Linked DNA regions of Neurospora crassa OR74A. The protein of the gene in region 5 purifies or fractionates together with the protein of the main gene of each other region. This does not show direct contact. Links are inferred from orthologs where the notes say so. Each region holds a gene or a part of one and is shown on either strand. Other genes may lie near its edges. The genes, in order: NCU02546, NCU03009, NCU08663, NCU05233, NCU06226, NCU08595 and NCU09317.

Region 1 (3,981 bases), on a different chromosome or scaffold from region 5:
TATCAGTGACACCGGCCGTCATGATCCGATTGGATCGTTACCAACCCTGAGGTCGGCTATTGAACGCATGCTCGGTTCACCCCAGCCGCCCATCGCGTTCACTGACCGAGTTTACTTCCTGCTCCTCCTTTGCTTCTTCGGGGGAGGTGCTGGCGCAGCCTCGGCTTCTGACTCAGACTCTTCGAGTTCGCTGGCTCCTTCGATGTCGAGGTCGGATCCTTCCTCGTCATCTTCGACGTCAGAGCCCTCCTCCTCGCCATCCTCTTCCTCATCGCTCGACGCGTCCAGGGGTATCATATCTTCAGCAGTGCTCTTCTCCTCACCCTTCTCCTCAGCAGCCTCTTCGACCTCAGAGTCGCTGTCACTGTCGAACCCGGCAAAGTTCTCAGGGTCTTCCTCCTTGGCATCCTCTCCTGCTGAAGCGGGAGTGGTAGCAGGCGCGCTGTCGTCCTCGTCACGTTTCCGCTTCTTGGACATTTCACCGTAGCGTCCTTCGCGACCCTCCATGGTATCAGTCTCACCCTCCTCCTTTTCGGGGGCAGGCGTGAACCAAGGAATCTTGCCTCGCATGAAGTCATTGAGAACCATCTTCGCAACGCCATCAACGTCAGGCTCACCACCCTTGAGAAGTCTGCCGCCCTTCCTAGCAAGCATCTCAAGGAAATGAATATGGTCCTTCCAGCCCTTGAGCTCATATGTCCTCTCCATGTGGTGAGGTTTGACCTTGTTCAATACCGCAGGGATGTATTGCTCCGGGTTATCGACGTTTTCCACACGTACAACACCACGGAGCAGGAGATCCTGTGGCGTATCGTTCTGGTTGGGAGGAACAATGCCAGGGCAGTCGATGAGGTAGATCCTCCTCATCAAGGTGACGTACTGCCAGACCTTGGTCTCTCCGGGAATAGGGGCGACCTTAGCAACGGGCTTCCCACGAAGGGCATTGATGATACTCGACTTGCCGACGTTGGGGTAGCCAACAAGACCGACGCTGATCTGTTTCCTGTCCTTGTGCAGGATACTGAACTGTCTGAGAAGATCGATCAAAGAACCACGACCGAAGGGGTTCTTGATGCTAGATCTCATAGCACATGTAGGATGATCCTTCTGCAGAACGCGAATCCACGCGGCCTATTGTTTTCAGTTAGTCCTCAACTCGTTACTGAATATAACATATATGTATAATGTGAAGAAATGTGTGAATCATAACTAAGAAGACCACCATGGTAGAGTCTGCTCAAAGGCAGGGTGGAATTCAACTCAAACGAAACACGTCCGGTATCCCGTGAAGTCCTCCAAAACGGAGTCCATCAAATCCCCAATCCCAAGACGGGACCAGAGAGGTTGGGAGGTGGATATTAATCTCCCAGCGATGTAACAGACCAATCCCAATGAAGCGCAACTGAATGCGGGAAAGATCCTGACAAAATCCCTGGGAACCTCAGGATTTGCGCGAGGCAAGTCAAGAGATTCAAGCAGAAGGAGTGAAAGCAAATAATGGTCTACACTTACAGCAGTCTTGGAAGGAACAAGATCGATCTTGTTCAGCACGAAAATAAGATGCTTGTGAGGAGCCTCAGTGGCAAGGTATTTCTCAACGTGACGACACCTGGTTCCCAGAGGATCTCTGGCATCGATAACGTGCAGGATGACATCTGACGAATCAATGACCTTGTCTATGTGATGGTTAGCAACCCGAAGTCACAAGTCCCCAAACACAGAAGGACTTACACAGTTCGTTCCAAATACGCTTCGACTGGCCCTTTGTGAAGATAGCCTCCTTGGCCGTCGCGACACTGAAATCCTCCTCTTGAACATCGTCATCGGCAAGACCACCGCCATATCCAGAAGCACCACTTAGAAGCTTGATCTCCTCGAGTCTGGCCTGGTATGTATCCATGCTCTTCTCGCTGTGTTCTGTCAAGTCACCGATCGTGTTGAAGCTGAGTTTTGGCCTCTTCCTTTGGGCCTTGGGGCCAAAGGTCTGTGAAAACGGCTCGCTCTCAATCGTCATCTTGGCTTGGTGCTTCTTCAACGCATCCTTGGGTCCATCTCTGATCAAGCTCATGGGGAGCTTGTTGCTTTTCAACAGCACCGCTACAAGACAAGGTGCGTTAGTCTTGGTCGGCCGGACAAGTGACGGAAGAGTTGAACGTACAGTAAGGATCCTTGTCCTTCTCGGCAATCGCCTCCCGGAAAGATGTCAACGTATCTTGCGAAATGACTCTGGTGTTGTTGAACCATCTCCGGTTCGGCTCGATGACGGCTGTGGGAACATCTCTGCTCTGATACGACGCGGCCTTGACGACCTTGCCCTCCTTGTTGCGAATGGCCTTTCCCTCCTTCAGCACGTTCAAGGCCTTGATCTTCTTTGCGCTCCGGTAGAAGTTCTCGCCCTTGACCTTTGGATCACCCGTCACCTTGCCCTGTCGCTGAATGCGAGACTTTTCCTTCTTTCCTGTTCCCATTTTGGCAGATATCACTCAATGCCAGATTACCGAGTAGGTTGGTGGGTAGAGGATGCAGATGTGGAAGAATTTCGTTCTCGCCTGCGAGAGCGGCTGGGGGTATCCGTAGATCGGGGGGTTTGAGATTGACTTGAAAGAAGAAGCACACGAAAATAGGGAAGAATGGGTAAAAGGCTAGAAACGAGGCTATGGGGTATCAGATATCGGCAGAGGGTGTTGCGTGAGAATCGAGAGGATGAATGGACTGGGGAAGAAGAAAAGAAGAGAGGGAAGCGAGGAAGGAATGAGAAGGAGGAAATGCAACTCTGCGACTGGTCCCGGCGAAAGTTTTGTCAGTTTTTTTTTTGGGCGGGGTGTGGAGGCCGCGCAAAGGTCCCCATGCACAAAAAGTTTAGCGGTGTACGACGGCAGAACGCCCGCGACCAGCAAAGCTAGTAGCACCAAGAGCACTCTAGCGCCGTTCTGGCCTCCCCGAGCTTTCAGAATTTCGACGGAGTTGAAAGCCCCCTCGTACCGCGGCGTGTCCCACGATCCCGAGCCGAACCTACCTACCTAGGAGAGCGAGAGGCCGCTGCACCCGCCTGGTCCGTTCCCTCCGTCGCACGAAACCTCCGCATAGCACGGCCCGGCCAGAAGTCTCCCAACTCCGACCCCATCCCGCTCACCCCGTCTTCAGCCAACCCTCCACCTCAAAAATGGCGCCAACTCTTGCCAGGCCGTCGCTCAGCGGCGTGCAATTTATCCTTTCTTCCCCGACCACAACATGCGCTGCCACCAGCGTAGTAACACGCGCCATCGCCGCCCGATCTTTCAGCACCACCCGATCGGCTAGAGACTCGGTCTCCATCCCCCCCGATTCGCCCAACTACATCAAGGTCCCCGAGCCGCCGCAGTCTTCCGAGGTTAGGCACCCTTTCGTCAAGGGCCACCTCCCGATCCCCCGCTCCATTTTCCCAAAGAAGGGCGTCCCGGAGAAGGTCCAATCCGGCTATGTCAATCGTATCGCTCCCAAGTCCGCCGCCGAGCTGGCTGGTCTGCCGCCCAAGTCGAAACAAGAGTCGTGGCGTCGCAAGATGGCCGAGGCCCGGCGCCAGTCACTCGAGGCCGGTCTGCAGGGACTCTGGCAGCGCAAGGTGAAGCGCGACCAGAAGCAGGCGAAGGAGAGCAAGGCGCGCTACTTGGCGAACAAGCGGGCGGCCCAGGCGCCGGAGCGTCTGGACGAGGTGTTCACGCGCGCGACGATTCGCGAGAGCACGGCCAAGAACACATTCGTACCCCTGGACCCAGAGGCTTTCGTCAAGGCCGAGGAGGCGCGTATTAAACATGCAGAGAAGGAGGCGATGAAGAGCGAGGCGCGCCGGGACGCCGTCGTCCAGCTGTACGTGGCGTCCAAGAACTTCATCGTGGACGAGAAGGAGCTGGAGGAGCACGTCAACAAACACTTCACCGAGAAGATCCACAACGCCGGTCTCTGGGAAAGCGGCCGCAGCATTTGGGATTCGCAGAAGAACCC
Region 2 (3,809 bases), on a different chromosome or scaffold from region 5:
GCCGACAAGAGCATAATGTCCCTCTTCGTCACCGGTATCGAAGATGATCTGCCTGAGTTCAAGATTCGCGACTTCTTCAAGGCGTTCGGAAAGATCAAGTCGCTGGTGGTGTCGCACATGTCGCATGCCGCGTTCGTCAACTACGAGACTCGGGAGGCTGCTGAGAAGGCTTCAGCGGAGTGCAAAGGCCGTGCTGTCATTGCCGGATGCCCCTTGAGAGTTAGATGGAGCGTGCCCAAGGCGTTGGGAACAATGAACAAGGAACAGCGTTCGGAGATGCTACGAGATGGTCGGTCGGCCTTTGGCAGTGGTCAAAAGACAGGTGGCCAAAAGGCGATCGGGGGACAAAATGCCCAGGGTGGCGCATCAGGAGCGCAGAAAGACGACGCATCTAACCTCACTATCGCAGCGCCGCCCGGTGCGGCAGACGTACAGTACGCCAGTCTCTCTGGCAACTAAGCGGGGTCAGAAAAGTGCTTATTAATCATGGTATTGCAAGGCGTTCGGAGGCTATTATGATTTGGGGTTTGGGCTCAGGGTATCTCGGATACGTTGCATTTCCTGATATCGCATGGTCTCTTCCACTAGTTTTCTACATTGAGGGGTATCATTGATGATTTATACATATACACGGGCAACGGCACTGTCCTGTTGTCCCATTACGTTCTCACGAACTTGAGCTTCCAAAATCCTTGTGTTATCCAACCATGGTTTTGTATTCACTTATGCCGAGCAGCACTTCTGCTCGCCGCCGATCTTGATGGTCTGGTTGCCTAGCTTGATGGTATCGTTGTCGCCGCGCTCGGTGTCCTGGTGAATCCGTAGCTCTGCAACGAACATGGAGTCAGCAACCATATTCTGTATATGACTCGAGCACCCCTAGACTTCGCTCACTGTAGGTCTCGCCGTCCTTACGGCCCTGGACGACATTGGATCTCAAAAAGCTGGCAACTTCCTCGGCATGCGCAATCGCAGGCGCAATCGTAGGATCGTTGGCGGGAACGTTCTGGTTCTCGCGGAAACCACGGCGGATGGACTCGTAGGCGGCCGTAAGGGTGCGGTTATCGCCTAAGATAGTGGCACATGCCGGTCAGTCCGGGGAGCTACATGGGCCGGCGGATGCACCAAGGAGACTGCAGGGGAACATCGTACCATCAAAGGCAACTCTCGCGGCGCGCATGAGGTGACGGTAGGCTTGAAGGGCAGACATGTTGACAATACTGCTGGTAAACGAGGGTCATGCAAGGGAATGCAGGTTCTAAAGAAAGTAAATAGTATTGTATCGCCAACTTCCGGTCTAACAAAAAGATTCAAGGCTTGTCTGGAAACAGTTGCAGTGACGGCAATGCGACCTCCAAAAATGTCGCCCAGGACCGGGTAGGCTTGCCGGCCGGAGTGGACTTGGAGTTGCGATGATTGTGATTGGCGGTCGATAAGCAAGATGTGGGGAGCTTAGCCATCGAAAAATTTCCAGAATTCCGTCGGTAAAAAGACAACAGAGGGGCCCCGCCTATACAAGCTTCTGGTTCCTGCGCCTGTCACTGTCTCCCAACCCAACCATCACCATCCTCATCATCGGCCGCAAAAATGACTACTGTGGTTCCCCTTCCTCTCCCCACCCTCCCTGAGGGCTGGACCGCCGAGAAGGACTTCAAGCCCATCGGCAAGATTGCCCAGAACGAGGCCACCCAGCGCACCATCGAGCCCGTCGGCCCTCACTTCCTCGCCCACGCCCGCCGCGCCCGCCACAAGCGCACCTTCTCCGAGGATGACCGTATTCAGGCCCAGGAGCGTGCCAAGAACGTCGAGGAGGACAATGAGAGCGACCTCAGCGAGCCCGAGGACCCCATGATGCTCTCTCGCGACGCCAAGGACTGGAAGGTTAGTGCTCAGCGTGTAATGGTGTATCACGCCACGCAAGACCTTGACAGCTAACCTGATTGCCCCGTATACAGCAACAAGATCACTACAAGGTTCTCGGCCTTTCCAAGTACCGCTGGAGGGCCACCGAGGAGCAGATCAAGCGCGCTCACCGCAAGAAGGTCCTCAAGCACCACCCCGATAAGAAGGCCGCCGCTGGCCGCACCGAGGACGACAACTTCTTCAAGTGCATCCAGAAGGCCACCGAGGTCCTCCTCGACCCCATCAAGCGCCGCCAGTTCGATTCTGTTGATGAGGAAGCCGATGTCGAACCCCCCACCAAGAAGCAGCTCCAAAAGGGCAACTTCTACAAGCTCTGGGGCAACGTCTTCAAGGCTGAGGGCCGTTTCAGCAACACCCAGCCCGTCCCCAGCTTCGGCAACGAGAACTCTACCCGCGAAGAGGTCGAGAACTTCTACAACTTCTTCTACAACTTCGACAGCTGGAGGTCGTTCGAGTACCTCGATGAGGATGTTCCCGATGACAGCGAGTCCCGCGACCAGAGACGCCACACCGAGCGCAAGAACCTCAACACCCGCAAGAAGAGAAAGGCTGAGGACAATGCTCGTCTCCGCAAGCTGCTCGATGACTGCTCGGCCGCCGATGAGCGTATCAAGAAGTTCCGCCAGGAGGCCAACGCCGCCAAGAACAAGAAGAGGCTCGAGAAGGAGGCTGCCGAGAAGAAGGCCGCTGAGGAGGCTGCTGCCAAGAAGGCTGCTGAGGAGGCTGCCGCTAAGGAGGCCGAGGAGAAGGCCAAGGCGGACCGTGAGGCAAGCAAGAAGGCCAAGGAGGCTGCTAAGAACGCTGTTAAGAAGAACAAGCGTGTCCTCCGTGGCTCCGTCAAGGATGCCAACTACTTCGTTGAGGGCGATGCTTCTGTTGCCACCATCGATGCCGTTCTCGGTGACGTTGAGCTTATCCAGGCCAAGATCGATCCCGATGAGATCGCTGCCCTCGCTGGCAAGCTCAACAACCTCAAGGTCGCTGACGAGATCAAGGCTGTCTGGAACGAGGAGGCCGCCCGCCTTGTCGGTGCCGGCAAGATCAACGCCGGTGACCTCAAGGCTCTTTCTGCTTAAATGATCTCTTACCGAGTCATGAGATAATAGTGAATGATCATGTTGGCGTTTGTCTATCACTACTAGAATCTAGACCTGGAGAAAAACAGAGTTGTTGACTGATACCATTGGAGATGGAGTATACTTTTTTCCTCGCCAGCCAACTTCTGCTTCGACGTGTGATGTCGTATCTCTGGTTGTCACTGCTACAGAGATCCCTACTTGCTGTGATGTTGAAAGTGGGTCCAAACTCTGATGATGAAGCGCATGAGTTGGCCGGTAGGCTCGATCATCTCTTCAACGATTCGGATAAATCCTGAGAAACAATACCTACTGCTAAGAATGACAGATCTACCCCTATCCGGCTACAATCATAATTCCATACGCAGGTACGCATAACAATGCTTTACTGCTCGCTCAGTCTTGGTCCTTTTTAGTACGGTAAAGCTTCATGCACAAGCACGCTTGTACATGCCATCTTGAGCGGCAACTGTAAAAGCATCATCACATGCGCATGTGGCAGATGCAACTAAGTACATAATTCACGATTACATGCGTGTTTCGCCGACGACGCAGGTACATTTCTTATCAGATGGAAAGAACAAGAAGGAAAGCTCACAAGGCACATATAAGTCACTGCTAAGCAAGGGAACAAGTCCAGGGCCCTTCAAACCGTTGATCGCAAAGCTGAGGTACAGCCACCTTGAACTCCTAGGTGTACTGTTCCCGGAAAGTCTGAGCCATTCGATTTCCGGAAATTTTCGATCAGATGTCAAGCTTGAACTCACTCTCAGTCCATGTACGTAGGTACTGTAGTACGCCAAAACCTGC
Region 3 (3,886 bases), on a different chromosome or scaffold from region 5:
CAAAGACCCTCTTGATGCCCAAACCTCTGTGACTGACCGCCTCAGCAGGAATTGGTAGCTGAGTCCAACACACACAAAGCAGAGGCAAACGCCCTCTTCACCTCGGGCAAATACGATGCCGCCCTCAACAAATATGACGAAGCCATTGCTGTTTGTCCAAACTACCTGGACTACCCCTTGGCCGTCTTGCGCTCCAACGTGGCCGCCTGTCACCTCATGCTGGAAGCTTGGAAGGATGCCATCACGCACGCAACCAAAGCTCTGGACTTGCTTGACAAGCTAGAGCGGGAGGACAAGCTGGCTGCCGAGAAGGAAGAGAAGGAGAAGGAAGATGTCGAAGAGGAGATTGTCAGCGCTGGTGCAGCAAAGGCCGGACCCGCCGTTCCTGTCACGGAAACTGAAGCGCAGATTGCCCGCCAAAAGCGACTAGAGGATATTGCCAGGATACGGGCCAAAGCTCTGCTACGCCGGGCCCGGGCAAGGAGCGAGCTGGGTGGATGGTCCACCCTCGAGGGGGCTATCGAGGATTACAAGAAGCTATCTGCCATGACCAACCTTACGGCTACCGACCGAAAGCTCGTCCAGGCGCAACTCAGAGCACTGCCGCCCCGGGCCAAGGCTGCTCAGGAGAAGGAGACTGCTGAAATGTGGGGCAAGTTGAAGGACCTTGGGAATGGGTTGCTTAAGCCGTTTGGTCTTAGCACTGACCATTTCAAGATGGTGAAGGATGAGAAGACCGGTGGTTACAGCATGAATTTCCAGGGAGGTGGTGGCGAAGGCAAAAAGTAATGTTGTGAAAGTTAATGAGGGTCAGGGCTCTTGCGATGCCTACCAGCGTCGTGGTTGAGGATGAATGGCTTCTTGATAGTCCAGTCACCCAGCCATATGCACCTCTGACTGGGAAAGCTGATTTTCCAGTCACCTGAAAATATTATCGACCAGTAGTCAACACGAATCGACAGTTCAATGTCAACAGATCGACAAGGGGGGGAGATGATCAGGAGCTCGTACCCGACAGCTGCAATACAGCTGGCCGGAGCTAAAGCTCCATAAGTTTTGAGGCTGATTTATTGGTGTGGCAAAGCCGGCAGTAGAACGCCACAATTGTACGTACTGCTGCACTGGCTTGTGCTAATACCTCTAAGTACCCACGGTAGCCGATAGCCGATAACGAATTGCTTATCAATGCAGCGCGGGGCGATTTGGTGCTGGGCCCATCAAGAAATTTATTGACGACCGTCCCGTCAGCGCCTCCAACGTTCCCCCCCAGCGACTCGTTCTCGTCCTGGTCCATTCAAATTTCCAGTCGTCAACTTCTTTCTCATCCGCAGCAACTTCACTTGTGATTGCGACGGAACTCCCAGGTTTTCCTTTTCACGACATAGCGACTTTTGTTTGTTTTTACAATTGATACCCCGATTCATATCTTGTCGCAAACCACAACTTCATTAATCATGGATCTCGACGCTCCTATGGCCATGGCCCCGTTGATGGGCTCTGCCAGGACAGGTGCTACGTGAGTTTTGACCATGAAGACTGAAGGTTATCGAAGGCATGATTGCTGACACCACCAATAGCATTCTCTGCTGCAACTGCGGCGCTCCCATCGATGGCACATCCTCCGCCGGCGCTCTTTGCTACGACTGCATCAAGTCCACCGTCGATATCTCCCAGGGCATCCAGCGCGAGGCCACCCTCCACTTCTGCAAAGATTGCGACAGATGGCTCCTACCCCCCGCCAGCTGGGTCACAGCCGCCCCCGAATCGAGAGAGTTGTTGTCGCTATGCTTGAAGAAACTGAGGAATTTGGGCAAGGTCCGCATCACAGACGCCAGGTTCATTTGGACAGAACCCCATTCGCGAAGAGTCAAGGTTCAGGTTACGGTTCAGGATCAGGTGGCGGATGGTGTGTTGATGCAGCAAAGCTTCGAGGTCACTTACGTCGTCGCCAGCCAGCAGTGCAAGGACTGCGCCAAGTCATACACAGCCAACGTCTGGCGCGCCGCCGTACAGGTCCGCCAAAAGGTCACCCACAAGAGGACGTTCCTTTTCCTCGAACAGCTCATTCTCAGGCACCAGGCCCATCGCGACACAATCAACATCAAGGAAGAGAAGGACGGTATCGATTTCTACTTTGCCCAGAAGAACCAGGCCGAGGGATTCATCAGCTTCCTGAAGTCCGTCGTACCAGTTCTCACCAAGGAGTCGAGGCATCTTATTTCCGCGGATACACACACCGGCAACAAGTCGTACAAGTACAACTACTCCGTCGAAATCGTGCCTGTTTGCAGAGACGATTTGGTTGCCCTTCCTCTCAAACTCGCCAAGTCCATTGGCAACATTTCTCCCCTTGTCCTTTGCCACAGGATAGGAACATCTGTCAACCTTCTCGACCCCAACACCCTCCAGACCGCCGAAGTCAGCGCCGATATCTACTGGCGTGCTCCCTTCCATCCGCTTGCCGGCACTCCCGATCTTGTTGAGTTTATCGTTATGGACATCGAGTCCACAGGCGTACGAAAAGGAAAGTGGCTTCTCTCCGAGGTCCAGGTCGCTCGTGCCTCCGATCTCGGCGTGAACGACAACGTCTACTTCACTCGCACACATCTCGGCCAGCATCTCCACGCCGGTGACTCGGTGCTGGGTTACATGCTCGAGGGTACCAACTTCAACTCGGACGCGCTCGAGGCGATTGAGAGCTCCAAGGCGTACGGTTCCATGATCCCTGACGTTGTTCTCGTCAAGAAGCACTACCCGAACCGCCGCCGCAACAGAAAGAGAAACTGGAAGCTCAAGCGCATGGCCAAGGACGAGGGCGAGCTGCTGCCCAAGGCTTCGGACCAGGCCAAGATGGATGCCGAGTACGAGATGTTCTTGCGCGATGTCGAGGAGGACGAGGAGCTTCGTGCTGCTCTTGCTCTGTACAAGAACTCGCTCAAGACCAAGAGGGAGGCGGATGCCATGAGCATTGCCGATACCGACATGATGACGGAGGCTGAGGAGGATGGCCCCAAGATCAGCATGGACGAGCTCCTCGATGACTTTGAGGAAATGGAGATTCAGGATAAGGAGTAGGATGTGATCTTGATTGGAGTCTGATATGTGGATGTGAATGGCTTTGGGATTCGGGGTAAATCAAAATTCTGGGAGTTAGCTGTTCTTCAGGGTTTGCGTTTTTAAGGCATTTCATGAATAGATTCGGGAATGGGCTTGCCGTGTTGGCGCCCTCTGCATCCAACATTCTGTTGTCTTTATAGTTGTGAATGCATAGACGTGGTTGAAAGGATGCTACGACCGTCAAAGTACTAAATCAACGAAGATGTGCAACTTGTCATGTACGATGATCTTGGTCAGTCAAGGCCTAGTGTTACACATCTGCTCAAAATGTTTTCCATCCGTCTGTTTTATCTTGTCGCCTTCGGTCATCATCAATTATGAAAACAGGTTTATTTCGAGTCCGGACAAAGGTTCCAAAGCATACAACCCCAGAAAAAGGAAAACATATCACAAAATGCGCGGGGTTTCACAACGATGCAGAGGGGGCCAAGGAACAACTTTGAAACGAAGAGAAAAGATGGAAAAAATAAAACGAAAAAAAGAGAACCAGAAGGTTGATCGTTATCGCTCGGATACCGGGAGTCGAACCCGGGGCTGTTGAGAAAACAGACACTTGTAAACAAGTGAGAGTCAACGATGTTACCGCTACACCATACCCGATGAAGGATGGCTTCCGATTGTTTTATGCTTTTGTCACCAGAGGATGTGTTCTTGAACCGGAAAAGCACGAATTGTTCATGAATTGTGTGGTGGAGTTGAGGGTTGGGTGTGACATGGGTCAGGGGTTCAGTAGTAGGTGGGCTAAAGGCAAAAAGGGAAAAGGGGGTTT
Region 4 (3,552 bases), on a different chromosome or scaffold from region 5:
GCAGCAGATGAGGCAGATGCAGATACAGCAGCCCGGCGACAGTTTTGGTGGGGATGCGGGACATTATGGGTATGGACAGGGGTACGTGGTCAGTCAGAGCTCGGCGTACCAGCCGGGGATGGGGGGGATGAATGGCATGGGAGGGATGAATGGGGCTCAGGGGGATTTGTTGTTGTGAGGGAGTGTGGTGTGAGGGGTGCCTAGCTCCGAATGGAAAGGGGGGATGGGATGGGAAGGGGTAAGAGTGGGAAGAGAGGAGAGACAAGGTAGTAATGTAATAGACAGACTAGGAGTTGGGGAAGCGTGGTGAGTGTGTGATTTGGTAGGGTGGTGGGAAAAGATATCCAGTTAGGGTTTTTGGTTGTAGATAATGCGAATAACAAGTAATATCCCGTCACTACGTATGTTCTGGTGTGTTAATGGGCGAGTGTGAAGACATTCATGTAATGTCATCTCACTACAAGACTTGAAAGACAAAAACGCGAGCATAGGACCACTTTGAATGTTCCAACCTTTTATTGCACTGAAGACCAAGTGAGAAAACCGTAAACGCCAATATACACATGACAAACGTACTACTAACAAAAACCAAAAGGGAATATTTTGTAGAAGGAAAAACAATTACCAAACAAATCCGAATATGTATATGTCCGTAAAGCCCCAAAACTTAAACCCAGCCGAGCCGCTTCAAGCCAGATTGAAATCCTTGAAAGTCCACTTCTCCGTGACCTTTGTCTTGGCCTGCTTTTTGAAGGGAATGTGCCTCCTCGCCTCCACCTTGCCTCTAAGCAACATATTCCTGTACCTGTCTTTCAACAAGTTACCCTCCGGCTTGAGCAACCTCAGCGAATCCTGCAGCTCATCCGGCAAGACCAGCTCCAGATCCTTCTCGGGCAACTTGAACTTGCCTAGTTGCCTACGGCGCAGCTCGACGTCGTCATCTTCTTCAAGGCTAGCATCGTCCTCTTCGACATTGTTGGATTCGGCTTTTTGGAGAGCAAGCTGCCTCTCCTTCTCGGCCAGTTCCTTGGCAATCTGCTTGACCCGCGCGGCCTCGGCCTCCCTCTTCTTGATGGCCGCCTCGTGCTTCAGACGCTGCTCCTCGGCCTTGCGGCGCTTGATCTTGTTGCGCTGGGCTTGCGTCTTGCGCTCCGGCCGCTTCTTCTTGTTGGCCAACCCTTCCGCGTCGCTCTCGGCCCCTTCCCAGGCGGAATCATCCTCCCATTCCGACAGCTCGGCGCGCTTCTCGGCGGCCTCGGCCTCGGCGCGCGACTTGGCGGCCGCTTCGGCCTTGAGACGCTCCTTCTCGAGTTCCTCCAGCCGCTTCCGTTCGGCCTCCTCGGCCTTGCGCAGCTCCTCCTGGTAGCGCTCCGAGTAGTCGGTGAAGGCGGGGTTGTACGACTTGTCGCCCTTGGGCTTGGGAACGGCGGGGAGCTGCTTGCCGGTGGCGGCGAGGGAGATGGGTTGTTGTGTGAGCGTCTTGGGCGCCTTGGGCTTCTCGACCTTGGGCAAAAAGTTGAACGTTTCCGCGGCCTGCTGCTTCTTTTTCTGCTCTTCCTCTGGGTCGGCCCAGGCGTCAAAGGTGGCGTCAACGACCTCAACCGTGGTGGTGTGGTGGCCGTCGGCAACGCGCTTCAGGCGACTGAGCTCCTTTTGGGTGACGTAGGTGGCCCGCAGGCGCTTGGAGGGCAGGACGCCGTCGGTGACCTTGCCGGAGGTTTCAGAAGCCGGGCGCTTCTTGAGGGAGACGGCGGGAACGGCGGAGCGCTGGGCGAGGATCTCGTCGGCCTTCAAGGGCTTCTTGAGTTGCTTGGGGAGCTTCTTGGTGATTTCGGTGTCGGGCTTGACGTCGATGGCGAAGAGTTCTTCGGAGGTCTTCTCGGCAATGACACCACTGTTATACGATAATTCATGTTAACCAATTGGTGTCTTTGGTAATACAAAGCATCACAGAAGGAGCGCCGTACCCCTTGATAATCTGGGCGTTCAACTCATCGAGACCCTGCTCGACCTCTGTCACGTCGACATTCTTCCTCCACGCCTTCTTGCCCTTTCTCGACGGTTGGTTGTATTGCTTGGGGGCTTCGGGATTGCCCGACAAGGGTTTTAGGACGGGCATTTTGGATATGTGATGTGATGGTGTGTTGTGTTGTTGGGTTGACGACTCGAAGAAATCAAACGAGTCGGCGGAGGTTCGAGGCAGATAAGAAATTGGAAATATTGATACCTCGAAACCGCCTGGAATTCTGGGGTCTCCTCTGCAATCAATCCGACTGCCCAGTGGGGTGTGCAACTCAAAATTTCAGCGGCGACAGGAGGCAGCGATAAGATAAGAAAGACCTGCCCGAGACAGGACAGGGAAGAGCAACTTCATGGAACACAAGCGTCCAGCGCTTCAGTTCCCTTCCCCAGCCGTGCTCAGCTGGCAGTTGGAGCAATTAGCCAATCAGACTTCCAAGCTGCCTCGGCCTCTGGACAAATCCAATGACGGCCGCCAAGCTTCCATTGGATGCCCGGTCTCGGTCGTTTTGGTCAAGTGAAGTGTCGAATTTGTCTGGGCGCAGAAAGGCGGCGGGCGGCCACTGTTTCCCTCCACTGATCGCTTGGCGCGGTCCCCTTTCTCTCGCATGAGTCCGCTTCGGGGAAGAAGACTGAATAATAGTCGCAAGAAACACTTTGTTGTTCGAACTTGAGGTTATGCATAAACAATGGATAAAAACATGTAAACTTGTACATACGTACATACGGAATGTCGGTCAATCAATTAATCTGTATCCAAACAAAATATTAAATGTTCAAGTATTTTCTGCTCTCTGTGGTATCAACTCTTATAAAACGATCTCTCGACCCGATTTTTGTTTGGTAAACGAAGACTCGACGGACTGCAAAGACCCCAGCAACCAAGTCGGCAACGAGACCCCGACTGGATCCCAAACACCGACCCGATTGTCCTCCAAGCTCCCTTGTCATCCACCCCCCGGCCACCACGCCCCGTCCGTCGCACCACTGAGACCACTCAACGCTGCATGATCAGTCTCCGGCAACTCTCCGCCGCCGTCCATCTTCCACTTCGACGACCAGCAGACACCTATCTAACTCTAGACCAACTCCGACCGCCTACACTACTAAGCTTTCTGCCACTTAACCACCACCACCTCCTCCAAAGTCCGAAAGCTTCCTCCCCTTGATCGTGTTTCCGAATACCTTCAGCTACCTACCTACCTACCTACCTACCTACCCCGCCAAATACCGTTAATCCGCAAACACATCCATCACAATGGCGCAAGCAGGCGGGTCATACAACAACCCCTTGAAGAAATTCAAGTAAGACAACATACCCGACACTTTTGCAGACAATGCACTTAAGTCAAATGGAAGACAAAACAAGACAAGATGCTAACCACTCTTTCTCCTCGCCAGGTTGGTCTTCTTGGGCGAACAAAGCGGTATGCGATTACCTCAACCTACAACACTTTCTCCACGATGTTCTCCGAGACACCAATGCTAACTCAACGATTGCGCGCAAACAGTCGGCAAGACGTCGCTCATCAC
Region 5 (3,447 bases):
ACGTCAACCTGACCATCATGGCCCACGTGCAAAAGATCACCAGGGGTGGCAGCAAGTAGGTCTCGCGCGCCGATAGGAAGGCGTGGGAGGATGCTTATCAGGAGGAGGAAAAAAGATGAGAACGGGACAAAAAGAAAAGAGGAGGCAGAGGAAGGAGGATGGCGAAAACGGTGACTTGTTTCCCTTGAGGAACTGGTTGTCCCGCGGGGCTGGCTGGCTACGTTTTTCGGTTGGCTGGTCCTGCTTGGTGGGCTTCTTGGGAGACTTGGAGGATGCGGCCGAGGTATCCGACGCTTGTTTTCATGGTGGTTCTGGCTGGGTCTGGTACACTCGGGCTTACTACGACGGAACGGGGGTACAGAGAAGCACCCTTTGCTAGGGAACCTTTGTTGATCCCTGCGATAGGGCTTGCGATTGAGGTTCTGGTCACAATTCTAAGAGACAGTCATTCGAGGAATTGTTACGGTTACGCCTGAAGGCTTGTACGATATATGTGATGGGACAGGGGAAGGATCAAAGGTAGAACTGGAAGGGAAAAGGGTTTATAGGGCATGGGAATTTGTTCAGGAACTTAGACAGTATGACAGGCGGTTCTTGTAGCATGATATGGGAGCGCGCGATAGCGGGATACTCATCTTCATCTTCAAACACAGACCCAATGCGCAGTGCAGGATAATTGGTTATAGAAGTGCAGATAACAATGCGACAATGAGTCCATGGTGATAGCAAGAATACAAGATGTCAGATTCAAGTCTTAGAGCAAGTAGATCTATGGCTTGCAAGGGAGGAGTTTGGATAATGGCCCATTTGGTCATGTCTGATGGAACGGGCAGAATAGTTATAAAAACTTTCATTTCCATGCCATGGACCAAACGCCAAAGGGGTATCAGACGCCGACTTCTTTTTCGTTAAACAGTAAAACCCATGTATCCCTTGAAGATAGTTTTTATCCCGAATCTTGTGTATTTCCCATAGCTATGAAATCGCTAGTTTAGACAAGGCCGAGCTTGGTGGCAGCAATGTCGAGGGCATCGACATCGGCAGTGAGGCGAGCGAAGGCCTTCTTGGAACCGTCAGGGCTGTGAGTGGAGTTAGCAACAAGAACCATATTAATGCCGGTCCATAGGGACCAAAACTAACCGGATCAGGGTGTTGATCTTGACGGTGTCAATGTCATAGAGCTTCTTGAGAGCCTGCTTGATCTGGGCCTTGTTGGCCTTGACATCGACGATGAAGACGAGGGTGTTCTGCTCCTCGATCTTCTTCAGGGCACCCTCGGTGTTGAGAGGGTGGACGATGACCTTGTGCTCATCGAGACGGGGCTCGTGAGGGATCGACTTGCGAGGGTACTTGGGAGCCCGAGACAGCTGAAGAGTCTTGGGGCGGTGGAAGGTGGTCGAGTATCTGACCTTGGTCTTCTTGTGCGAGTGCACCTAAACAGAGAAAAAGAACTCTAATCAGCATCAGAACGTCACCAGGGGGGAAGGGATCGCGAGTCGTCGCAAACTTACACCCTTGAGGGCAGCCTGGGCAGCCTTCTTGGCCTGAGCGCCCTTACCGGCCTTAGAGGCACCGCCTATCCATAGAGTCCCTCGTCAGCAAAAGCATTCGCCTGGAGCAAGATGATGCCAGAATCTTGTCCAAACTCGCAAAGTCTGCTGCTGCTTTGGTGCATCACCTCCGAATGCCATTGCGCGACACGGAGGATCCGCATTGTGCGCGGGGCGAGCATATTTGTCGAGCCGTTCAATTCATTCTTGGTGGAATCGTCGCTGGTGAGATTTTGAGGTTTCTTCAAGTACCTTTCTTGGTATCCTTAGGGGCCATTGCTGCGATTTCTGCTGTCGTCGGGCTAAGAAATCGGGATTCTCGCTGGTCGTTGTCGGAGAGGAGAAAGTTCACTTTTTGGCCAAAATTTGGGGGAGGAAAAAGTGTGCGCGCGGGATTTGTGTGGCTTGGTAGTGTGGCTGAAGTGGTACTGGCAGGGGTTGAGCTGCGCAAACTGGCGCAAACGGGCTCTGAACCACACCAGAATATCCACTTTCGCGAAATATGCTCCACAGTATTTTGAATCTCGACCTCCGATCATCACTTTATCGCTACGCACTCCGTCATTCAACCTTGAAGGTCATGATGCGCCCTCCGATCCAGCTTTCCTCCTTCTGCTCGTGGTCTGTCGGATGAAGTCGGTGCAGGACACCTTGGATTTTCACAGCTCCAAGCCTCGCTGTTCTGTGCCTATCACGACCTCCAGACAAGGACGTGGTGTAGTTGTCTTGCTAACTACAGTGTCACGAACCACCAATCGAAATCGAAAACCAATCTCACCGAGACGGATCACAGTATCGACAAGATCGACTATTTGCGGCTATATACTTGTTACAGCATAGCACGCGACGAAGGACTATGGCACCCAAGAAAGGAGTAAGCAAGAACCTTGCAGCTGGGCGTCCGCCCATGGCTACGCGACCTAAGAAAAAGGGAGTGGTCAAAAACCTGGCAGCAGGCCGTCCGCCCACGGTCACAAAGCCCAAGTCACTTGCGCGGAAAACCACGAAATCCATCATCAACAAACTCCATCTCCTAGAGAAGAGGAAGGTGCAGGCTATGAAGAAGAACGATAACACACAGGTCGCGGCAATTGAGGCGGAGATCGAGGCTTTGGGTGGTATCGAGAAATATCAGGAAGCAAGTCTCCAGGGGCAGAGACATGACCGAGGCGGCGACAGCTCCAACGTGCTCATGGAGTGGGTTGGGCCGTACCTCTCATCCGAGGAGTATAAGGAAGGCCGCTTGCGCATGCTGGAAGTTGGAGCGCTGAGTACAAAGAACGCATGTGCTCAAAGTAACCATTTCGACATCACTCGGATCGATCTCAACAGCCAAGAGCCTGGGATTCTTGAGCAGGACTTCATGGAGCGCCCGTTGCCGAAGGACGAGTCGGAGAAGTTTGACATCATCAGCCTTTCTTTGGTGCTCAACTTTGTCCCAGACCATAAGGACAGAGGCGAGATGCTGGTCCGCACGACACAATTTCTAACATCGCCGAAGCGGTTCTCCGGGACAACCGCTGCATTCTTTCCAAGTTTGTTCCTTGTGCTACCGGCCCCATGCGTCACCAACTCGCGATATCTGGATCAAGAGAGGTTAGCGGCTATTATGGAATCGATCGGGTACGAGATGGTGGAATCCAAGACAACCCAACGGCTGGTCTATTACCTGTGGAGGAGAACATCAGATCAGGTTGGAAACGACAGGCCGTTTCGCAAGGAAGAGCTACGTTCTGGCTCGTCACGCAACAACTTTGCCATTACCTTGGTCTAAGGTTTGCGAACCATTCGAACGCACACAATCGAGATCAGTCACGACATCTAACAATAAGTCACTCGACTCGACCGTTGTTGGGAGCCGATAGATCGGATGACCACAACATTGGTGTTCTCAGTC
Region 6 (3,557 bases), on a different chromosome or scaffold from region 5:
ATCTCGAGTCTTAACTCTTTGGTGGGACTGGCTTTAGTCTCTTTATAGACAAGCATAAGGAAGCCATCATTGATTGATACAACTCTGCTCTAACAAACACAATTTCTGGTACAGGCATTTCATTCATAACCTTGTAGTCAGTCAACATATACACTAATCAATCGTTCTCGGCATGGATATTTGGTTTCATAATTTTGTACTAAATCAGTCTGCAGACTGCCTCACCGACACCCCTTATAGACGTTTCCAAACCAAAGATCGAAACAGGGAATAGTTCATAGGTTTTCCTATGGTTGTACATGATTATGGCATTGTCTTTTTTCTATGATTATAGATAGTTGCAAGGTAGCAAGGTAGCAAGGTAGCAAGGTAGCAAGGTATCCAGGTAGAAGAGGGAAATAGCATGAGTGCCATGTGATAGTAGGCAGCGAGTGCTGACAATACTAGATTCTTCCAAACAAAGCTGTAGCGGCAAATTCGGCCGGTCGATCGGTTGATCCTATGGTCCCATATGTTGGTTGGTATAAATATCACGTATATGCTAGATAGATGTCTAGGTCTACAAGCTTTGGCAAGGCAACTTCACGAACAACCCATCATCCATCAATAACTCCAGCTTTGGTCATCTCTTCTTTTCTGTTGATGATCTGATCTGGCATGAATGTTCATCTTCCCCAAGAGCAGCAGCAGCCAATGATATAAGATAAAGTAAAGTAATAAAACTAAAAACTCCCAAAAACGCCTTGTGTCTTGGTGGATGATCGCAACAATTGTGAGAGAAAAAAGATTAAACCTCCTCCCTGCCTGCCTTCTTCTTCATCCCCTCAACCCCTCATTCTCCCGTCTCCCTACTCTTGCTCAACTCAAAACTCAACGACATCCCTCGCCTTCTTCTTCCTCGGCCCCACGATCCTGTCACTGACCTCCTTGACGCCCTCCATCGGCATATCCGCATCATCAAAGTCCTCATCCACCACATCCCTGCTCCTCTTGAGACCCTTCATCTTTCTCGTCTGCAACTCGCTGAGATCCAGCTTGCCCATATGGATCCTACCAATCTTGTCACCGATGCTGTCCATGCTGATGTTCTTCTTGGTGCGCTCCTCGTTGGTCTTGGGCTTGCGCATCGCAGCCTTGAGCATGTCCGCGTCGGGCTGCTGGAGGCGACCGAGGCGGAAGTCCATGCGGGGGCCGTGCTCCTCGACTTCGACTCGGGGGAGCTTCTGGCCGGAACGCTTGGTGCGGATCAGGTAGGCGCGCAGGTGGAGGGTGGGTTTTGTCGAGGGGTCCGAGGGATCGGTGGAGGAGGAAGTGGGCTCGTCGGCGGAAACGACAACGCAGTACTGCAGACCCTCAACGTCGATCTTGTCTGAGGGCTCGCCGCGGAAGAAGTCGATGAGCATGGATTTGGCGGTGGTGAAGGCGTTGGGGACGGGGGATTCGCTGTGGTACTCGGTTAGCTGACGTTCATTCACTACTCCTTCCTCTTTGTCACAAGAATCGGGGGACATACAAAGCAGTACCGGCGAACACCATCAAAGGCTTGGTGCCTACGGGCACCTTCTTGGTCTTGAACTGGGCAATGCTGCGGAAGGTCTCGGGGTCGAGGTAGAACTCGAGCATGTCGAGCATCTTGTAGTCGAAGGTGCGGCAGAAGGTGATGGTGTGGGGCCTCTTCTTGCTGCTGGAGCCGAAGAGGATGAGCGAGGTGTCGTTCTTCTCAGAGAAGAAGGTCAGGGAGCTGGCGTCCTCGAAGGGGTGGACGGGGTTCTTCTTGTGGAAGCGCTTGGCGTGGGTTTGGCGCAGCGAGTAGAGATCTTGCATGGCATCTTGGGTCTGCGGACTGTATTAGATTTTGATGATACCATCATATATAGGAGGAGAGGATATGGAGGAGGTGACATACGACTTGGCTGCAGGTGGTGCCGCGAAGGAAGAGGGCGGTCTTGGGGTTCTCATTGACCTTGGGGGCACGCTTCTCGAGCGCCCTCTTGGAACGGGCTGTCCGCGGCTTGCTGTGCGGAGAAGAGAACTGTCAGCTAATGTTCGGTATGTTCCATTGTCATGATCGATTGACGTACACTTGGCGGAGCATTTTGGCGGTCTGGTTATGCGATGACGGTAGTGGGTGGATTGGATAGGTACCGCAAGGTGGTGATGTGGACTGGGGACTGTCTCCTTCACCTGCAAATCGTCGTCGTGATGGTCGAGCAAAGAAATTCCAGAACGGCGCTTATCGATAAGAGGAGACCTTGAACTCGAAATTTTGTGGGGCAGGTGGGGTCAAGATTGTCCGCTCGTCCACTGGGCGCTGGCTTTCCCCTGCCTGTCGTTCAGGGGTTCACGGGCTGTTAGGTTCCATTCCATTTCACGCCTCAACGTCACTGCAACGGCAACCAAAATCATTTCCATTTCTGCCGTCTCATCACAATTAGGTTGGTGATGGAGTCAACCTTGAGTTCCATATTCTTGTTCTGATCACTCGATAATCACTTGCTCTTTGGGAAACAAGCATTGAGCAATATGATTGCCAAGTCAGCAACATCACAAAACTCTGGCATCACTCTTACAAGGTCAGCACACTTGAGAAGATTCTGAATACACGAAGCCAACATATTGGGATGGTGTTCTTCTACACTTCGGGTTCACAATACAGATTCCTTAAAACCGTTCTACTCTGACATAAAACCAGATTTCTCCAGTCATTGCTCCCGGCGAGCATCAAGAATGCTCTCATCCACCTACTACGGACCTACCTGGCCTGTCGTTCTCTAACACCATGAAGCAGTTCAGTATAGCTTCCCTCCTCTCACAATGATCTATTTCGCCATGTCCCCTCTCTCTCTCGTGGTCGTCTTGACTGGACCATAAATGTAGGATATCCATCCAACCTGATGAGACTCCCCGGTCTCTTTCCCCATCACGTCCAAACAGCCCATACCCATCCCATCCATACTTTGCATGTATCGTACAACCTCCGGAACGCATCCCATTCACGTGGTGGCTTCTTTTACCGTTGTTCCATGGATCCTCGGCACTCCTCCTTTCACCGCCTCCGCCTCCGCCGTCACTAGGTATGTATGCCATCGGGAAGCTACCTACCTACTTTTCAACGGTTTTGAAAAAGGGCGATTGCATTCTCGTCAAGCCCAGCCCATGCCACTGAAACTGAAACTTAAACTGTCCGCAGCTGTATGTATGTATGTACATGTGGAGTGTTCGGAGACTCGGGCATTAGGAATGCATTTTCGAAAAGTTCTATGCAGTTTCCCGCGACTGAGAAGCCTGGGATGCAAGTAAACTGTCGTGACTCGTGAACTCGTTGGAAGCATGTTCCCGTGAGGGTGTGGTGAGAGAAGGAGGTTTGGATGCGGGTTGTTCCGTGCAGGCGCTCGGGCCAGAGACTCGGACTAGAGAGGTAACTAATATCGTGAGGTTGATGGAACGAGTCTTGAAGACGGGGGGTCTCGATGATGGTGGGCTATCATGGTACGATCATCCTGAAAAGGTTTTGGTCGTTCACGGCTATGTTTCTTCAAATGGCGTCAAGAAAAGTA
Region 7 (4,235 bases), on a different chromosome or scaffold from region 5:
AGAGACGATCCTGGTGTAGCAGTCAGAGCAAGAATTCGAAAGCTCTTGGAGAAACGCCTTAAAAATTCGACCACCTTGACGTATGCATAGTCTCCAGTCGCACGATGCGCCTCGTCAATAACCAGCAGTACGATGGACTTGGGATCGGCATAGCCCTTGGAAAGGTCATTCATTAGTGTTTGGGGTGTCATGAAGAACAGGCGCTTTGTTGCCCATTCGTCCTCACGTAGAACAGGAGGAGTCTCTCCGGTTAGGAGAGTCGCCTGAGATCGCGGGATGCCCGCTATGCTGAGACATGCTTGAACTTGTTGTGAAGCAAGGGGTTTCGTAGGAGCAACAAAGACAGCCTTTGCGGTTTTTGTCCAGCGGATGTAGTTTAGCATGATTGTCGCAGCAATAAATGTCTTTCCCAAACCCGTGGGGAGGGCGACCAATGTGTTGTTGAAGAGGCCATTTTTGACAATGCTGAACTGGTAGTCTCGAATAGGTCCCAGATTCATCGGATAAACCCATGTTTTCATTTCTTCTATGTCAATCTCATGGTGAGTGGGCTGCTCTGGGGGCATATCGGCACGGAATGGTCGATTCGACACCGCTTGCGGGGCGGGTTGCGCATCCTCCTCCAGCGTGCCACCCCATAGTGTCGTCTGACGCAGATTCTTACGCTGGCTGGACTGAGCTAGGGACGGGCGAGACGTTGTCGCTGACGTGGTCGGCTTGCTTGCTGTTTTGGCACGCCCTGTAGCTGTAGCCTGACCCTGCGATACGGTTGGAGTAACGATTCGTCTTGCAGAATCGGATATTGGCCACGCTTGTGCTGGTGGTTTTGCCGACGAGGCAAGCTGCTTGCTGTTGCTGGGGTGATGTGATGTGATGTTGCCGGTGGCCTGGGTGAAGGCCAACATCAAATCCTCATCAGGAATATCGTCAAAGTCATCGTCATCCATGACTTGAGAGTTGTGAGGTTGTAGAAAAGAAAGAACCTTGACGATTCGAGATTCGATGCGCCGATGCTTGGGCAGTTAATACAACCGGACTTTGTTTTCTTGCCTTTTTTTTTTAAACTTCTTGTTCTGGTGATGAAACTTAAGGCTTGTCGGATGAAATTCTTGGAAGTGAAACAATTGACATTCATAACAGTCCGTTTGCATAGGTGAACCGACCCTATCGTCACACAAGCCCGGCCTGATATGAGACGCGTCGCTGTTTTAATGGACGGGCTATTCCCTTGACACGTTCCATCGCCATAGCACGTGAATTGGTGTGGGCAGTCTGGGTGCTGCCGCCTGGGGAGTTCGCAGCAGAACAGCGTCAGAGTGGGGCTGTTGCATCTTGGGTGGGGCAGGTTTGCGTCAAAATCCGATCGCTTGTCTCTGTGGTCCGCTGGAGCCTGGCGCACTGGTCGGAGCTTGGCTCATTGCCTTGAGTTCAAGTTGCATGCTCCTCCACTGCCGCCGCTAAGGTATTTCCTTTTTGGAGGTCCGGCAGGCTGAACCTTCTTTCTTCCATTCTCCAATCCGTCATCGAAACCTTCCTCATTTCTCGACCTTCTCGCGTCGTCAGTTGGCATCGGCAGCCCAACAAACTCTTCAGTACTGACCGGCTGATGACTCTTGCGCATCCTCGTACTCGCCCGTTGCTTCAGAGCTAGCAGCTTCCGTACGCATATTCAACCAACGATCACGAGCGAAGCGGCGGCCTTCTACTTCTACTTCCGTACCTTTGGATCTCCGCGTCGTCTTTGTCGCCCCACCTCCAAGCATCTTTTACATCTTTCTTTACCTCGACAAATCCCTTTAGAGAAGCGCACCTAGACTCTAAGCGAAGTGTCCTTTGACACCTATCTGGGCCACTCTCAAATACAGCGTCCCAAATCCACCCAGCGGTGATCAATCCCCGGTCGGCATCGGCCGCCTGTTTTTCTTGAGCAGGCCGCTCTCCCGCCTAACGGCGACACCAAAGGTAAGCCTCGACTCTGCATCTTAGTACCCTTCCCCAGTTCCCCCGACCACGACCGGAACTTTGACCATCGGGGCAGCGAAGAAGTCGGCGAACAAGGACAACTCGCAACTCCACGACTCACTGTCCTTTCATCAACAACTCGGCGAGAAAAAAAAATCACCCGCAACTCACACCGAACGTTTTCTCTTCAGAATTCAACGAACAACCATGGCACCTCCTACTGGTCCTCGCGCCGGAACTGGAAGGGCTCCTCCTCGTGGACCCCGAGCAACAGGCGGCGGTGGCGGAATCCAGAAGCGTCGCGCAAACCCGAGGACGGACCGAGATGGAGATGTGTCAATGGATGCTCCGGCTGGTGGCTCTGGTAGGGGTGGGTTGGCTTCCGGTGGTCGAGGACGTGGCTCCAAAGATGCTCGAGGTGGAAGAGGTGCGGTGAACTCCCGGACAGCATCCCGGGTCGTGCAGAACCTACAGAACTACGTCAGCGGAGGTCCCGTCGGCAAAACACAGTCCAATATGGCCACACTGAAGATTCACGGTATGAGCAATAGCAAAGCTACCGGCAATCGCGATGGAGGGCTTCGGTCACTTCTCACCTTTCTGGAACGAAAGGCTTCCAAAGACAAAGCAGTTACAATCGGCAAGGTATACTTTCCCATCCACCGACATCCCCAAGCGCGCAATATTCTGCAACTGCGATAACCGACACCTTCTAACCCATCGATAGAGTATAATGGACGGCGATTATGTGTGGATCACGGTCAGAAAAGATGACGCCCCGGAGATCTTGAGGCTCAATGGCTTCACCTATGCCGGTGCACCCCTGACGATTACGGAAACCACCGAGAGGATGCCTCGCCCCGAAGACAAGATTTCCAAGGCTGCTGAGGAGACCAAACAAAAATTGACAGCAGTGCTAGCTGCGCGCTACAATCCAGAGTTGAAGCTGCTTGACTTATCTTCTCTTGGAACCGATCCCATCCTCAGCAGCATGGGCACGTTTGATTCCAAGGATCGGGCCGAAAAGGCCTTCAAGGTCTTGGTAGTTATTGCTAGTCAGCAGTACAAGACCGCTGCCGAAAAGCGTGAAGGGATACAGGCCATTTCCCTTGCTAGCAACGGCCTTAACGACGTCATGCAGGTTTTCACGCTTGCTACGTCACTTCCAGATATCAAGAGACTTGACCTGAGCAGCAACAACCTCGACAGTCTGTCCAAGATCTCCAAGTGGCAGCACCGCTTTCAGTACCTCGAAGAGCTTCATCTCACAGGCAACCCCATCACCACCCAGCCCGACTTCGTGGCAGAACTCATCAAATGGTTCCCATCGCTACAGAACATCAACGGACAAATTGTTCGCAGCCCACAAGAGGTTACTGAGGCCCTCAAGGGCATGCACCCCACGCCACTACCGCAGTTCCCCTCCAACCTACGGGACGGGGAGGCCAATGTGGCGAGCATCTTTGTCCAAGTTTTCTTCCCCATGTTCGACAGCGACAGAGCTCGCCTCGCCGCTGAGTTCTACGACGACGACTCGTGGTTTTCGATTCAAGCCATTGCCAATTCTGGTCGTAATCTTCCTTGGAAAACTTACCTCAAATACTCCCGCAACGTTCACAAATTGGGAGAGAAGAATCCAGCAACGGTACAACGTCTCTTCACCGGAGGAAATCTCATTGCGGACATGTGGAAGGCTCTCCCCAGTACTCGCCATCCAAGCATGGAGAACCCTGGTGCCTGGCTCATCGACTGCCACACCTTCCCCAACCTCGCGGACCCCACCGGCCACGGCTTCGCTACGGGATTGCTCATCACCGTCAATGGCCAGTTTGAAGAGTCCGATACTACAGAAAACCTCTACGGAAAGCGCACCTTCACGCGCACGTTCATTCTTGGACCCAGCAAGCCGAGCAACCCGCCGCCGGTGCACCCATACCGGGTTATTAGCGATCAACTCACCCTTCATGACTGGACACCCGCGGAGACACCTGCTGGTCAGGCCCCTGTCGCCAACCAGGTCCCGCAGGTTCCGGTTACCAACGCTGTGCCTCCAGCAGAACCTGTCATGTTGGATGATGCCACGAAGAACCAGCTGATTCAGGAGGTGATGAAGCGGACTGGCATGACAGCAGAATACTCAGAGTTGTGTCTCAGTGGCACTGCCAACTGGAACTTTGAGCTGGCACTCAAGTCATTCGAGGAGCAGAGGGCGAACTTGCCGCCCACGGCCTTTATCAACGCTGTCTAGGGGACAGCGCAGGTCACCAGCGTCA

What was found.
Region 1: the proteins of NCU06226 (region 5) and NCU02546 purify together in Saccharomyces cerevisiae (affinity purification with mass spectrometry; 5 studies listed by BioGRID, with this or other methods). This does not show direct contact. The link is inferred for Neurospora crassa OR74A from reciprocal best matches to the Saccharomyces cerevisiae genes RPL25 and NOG2.
Region 2: the proteins of NCU06226 (region 5) and NCU03009 purify together in Saccharomyces cerevisiae (affinity purification with mass spectrometry; 3 studies listed by BioGRID). This does not show direct contact. The link is inferred for Neurospora crassa OR74A from reciprocal best matches to the Saccharomyces cerevisiae genes RPL25 and ZUO1.
Region 3: the proteins of NCU06226 (region 5) and NCU08663 purify together in Saccharomyces cerevisiae (affinity purification with mass spectrometry; 3 studies listed by BioGRID, with this or other methods). This does not show direct contact. The link is inferred for Neurospora crassa OR74A from reciprocal best matches to the Saccharomyces cerevisiae genes RPL25 and NMD3.
Region 4: the proteins of NCU06226 (region 5) and NCU05233 purify together in Saccharomyces cerevisiae (affinity purification with mass spectrometry; 3 studies listed by BioGRID, with this or other methods). This does not show direct contact. The link is inferred for Neurospora crassa OR74A from reciprocal best matches to the Saccharomyces cerevisiae genes RPL25 and NOP53.
Region 6: the proteins of NCU06226 (region 5) and NCU08595 purify together in Saccharomyces cerevisiae (affinity purification with western blotting; 8 studies listed by BioGRID, with this or other methods). This does not show direct contact. The link is inferred for Neurospora crassa OR74A from reciprocal best matches to the Saccharomyces cerevisiae genes RPL25 and RPF2.
Region 7: the proteins of NCU06226 (region 5) and NCU09317 purify together in Saccharomyces cerevisiae (affinity purification with western blotting; 3 studies listed by BioGRID, with this or other methods). This does not show direct contact. The link is inferred for Neurospora crassa OR74A from reciprocal best matches to the Saccharomyces cerevisiae genes RPL25 and MEX67.

Annotation. Positions count from the first base shown.
Region 1 is NC_026501.1:2,685,305-2,689,285, reverse strand, and holds the start of NCU02546 (nucleolar GTP-binding protein 2), read right to left. Parts: upstream 2,801-3,981; 5' UTR 2,469-2,800; coding exon 2,159-2,468; intron 2,098-2,158; coding exon 1,732-2,097; intron 1,677-1,731; coding exon 1,513-1,676; intron 1,132-1,512; coding exon 112-1,131; 3' UTR 1-111. Other genes in the region: NCU02545 (hypothetical protein), read left to right, coding at 3,164-3,981. UniProt on the Saccharomyces cerevisiae protein: GTPase that associates with pre-60S ribosomal subunits in the nucleolus and is required for their nuclear export and maturation.
Region 2 is NC_026501.1:8,457,541-8,461,349, reverse strand, and holds NCU03009 (zuotin), read left to right. Parts: upstream 1-1,490; 5' UTR 1,491-1,587; coding exon 1,588-1,881; intron 1,882-1,955; coding exon 1,956-2,999; 3' UTR 3,000-3,309; downstream 3,310-3,809. Other genes in the region: NCU03007 (pre-mRNA-splicing factor slt-11), read left to right, coding at 1-459; NCU03008 (hypothetical protein), read right to left, coding at 724-827, 895-1,068, 1,153-1,210. UniProt on the Saccharomyces cerevisiae protein: Component of the ribosome-associated complex (RAC), a heterodimeric chaperone complex involved in regulation of accurate translation termination and in folding or maintaining nascent polypeptides in a folding-competent state.
Region 3 is NC_026504.1:4,180,580-4,184,465, forward strand, and holds NCU08663 (60S ribosomal export protein NMD3), read left to right. Parts: upstream 1-1,187; 5' UTR 1,188-1,454; coding exon 1,455-1,516; intron 1,517-1,577; coding exon 1,578-3,075; 3' UTR 3,076-3,386; downstream 3,387-3,886. Other genes in the region: NCU08664 (tetratricopeptide repeat protein 1), read left to right, coding at 49-789. UniProt on the Saccharomyces cerevisiae protein: Acts as an adapter for the XPO1/CRM1-mediated export of the 60S ribosomal subunit. Unlikely to play a significant role in nonsense-mediated mRNA decay (NMD).
Region 4 is NC_026504.1:5,668,606-5,672,157, reverse strand, and holds NCU05233 (60S ribosome subunit biogenesis protein NOP53), read right to left. Parts: upstream 2,352-3,552; 5' UTR 2,120-2,351; coding exon 1,968-2,119; intron 1,895-1,967; coding exon 688-1,894; 3' UTR 501-687; downstream 1-500. Other genes in the region: NCU05232 (AP-2 complex subunit beta), read left to right, coding at 1-178; NCU05234 (GTP-binding protein ryh1), read left to right, coding at 3,278-3,324, 3,421-3,446, 3,531-3,552. UniProt on the Saccharomyces cerevisiae protein: Late-acting factor in the nuclear maturation of 60S ribosomal subunits, which is required for normal acquisition of export competence. Required for the export of the large subunit.
Region 5 is NC_026503.1:1,965,160-1,968,606, forward strand, and holds NCU06226 (60S ribosomal protein L25), read right to left. Parts: upstream 2,004-3,447; 5' UTR 1,828-2,003; coding exon 1,803-1,827; intron 1,577-1,802; coding exon 1,512-1,576; intron 1,434-1,511; coding exon 1,141-1,433; intron 1,080-1,140; coding exon 992-1,079; 3' UTR 501-991; downstream 1-500. Other genes in the region: small zinc finger protein Tim8, read left to right, coding at 1-59; NCU06227 (hypothetical protein), read left to right, coding at 2,407-3,324. UniProt on the Saccharomyces cerevisiae protein: Component of the ribosome, a large ribonucleoprotein complex responsible for the synthesis of proteins in the cell.
Region 6 is NC_026501.1:9,517,966-9,521,522, forward strand, and holds NCU08595 (ribosome biogenesis protein), read right to left. Parts: upstream 2,198-3,557; 5' UTR 2,096-2,197; coding exon 2,082-2,095; intron 2,016-2,081; coding exon 1,907-2,015; intron 1,837-1,906; coding exon 1,514-1,836; intron 1,444-1,513; coding exon 864-1,443; 3' UTR 501-863; downstream 1-500. UniProt on the Saccharomyces cerevisiae protein: Required for biogenesis of the 60S ribosomal subunit.
Region 7 is NC_026501.1:4,264,639-4,268,873, forward strand, and holds the start of NCU09317 (hypothetical protein), read left to right. Parts: upstream 1-1,435; 5' UTR 1,436-1,962; intron 1,963-2,038; 5' UTR 2,039-2,169; coding exon 2,170-2,607; intron 2,608-2,689; coding exon 2,690-4,210; 3' UTR 4,211-4,235. Other genes in the region: NCU09318 (ATP-dependent DNA helicase mph-1), read right to left, coding at 1-947. UniProt on the Saccharomyces cerevisiae protein: Involved in the export of mRNA from the nucleus to the cytoplasm.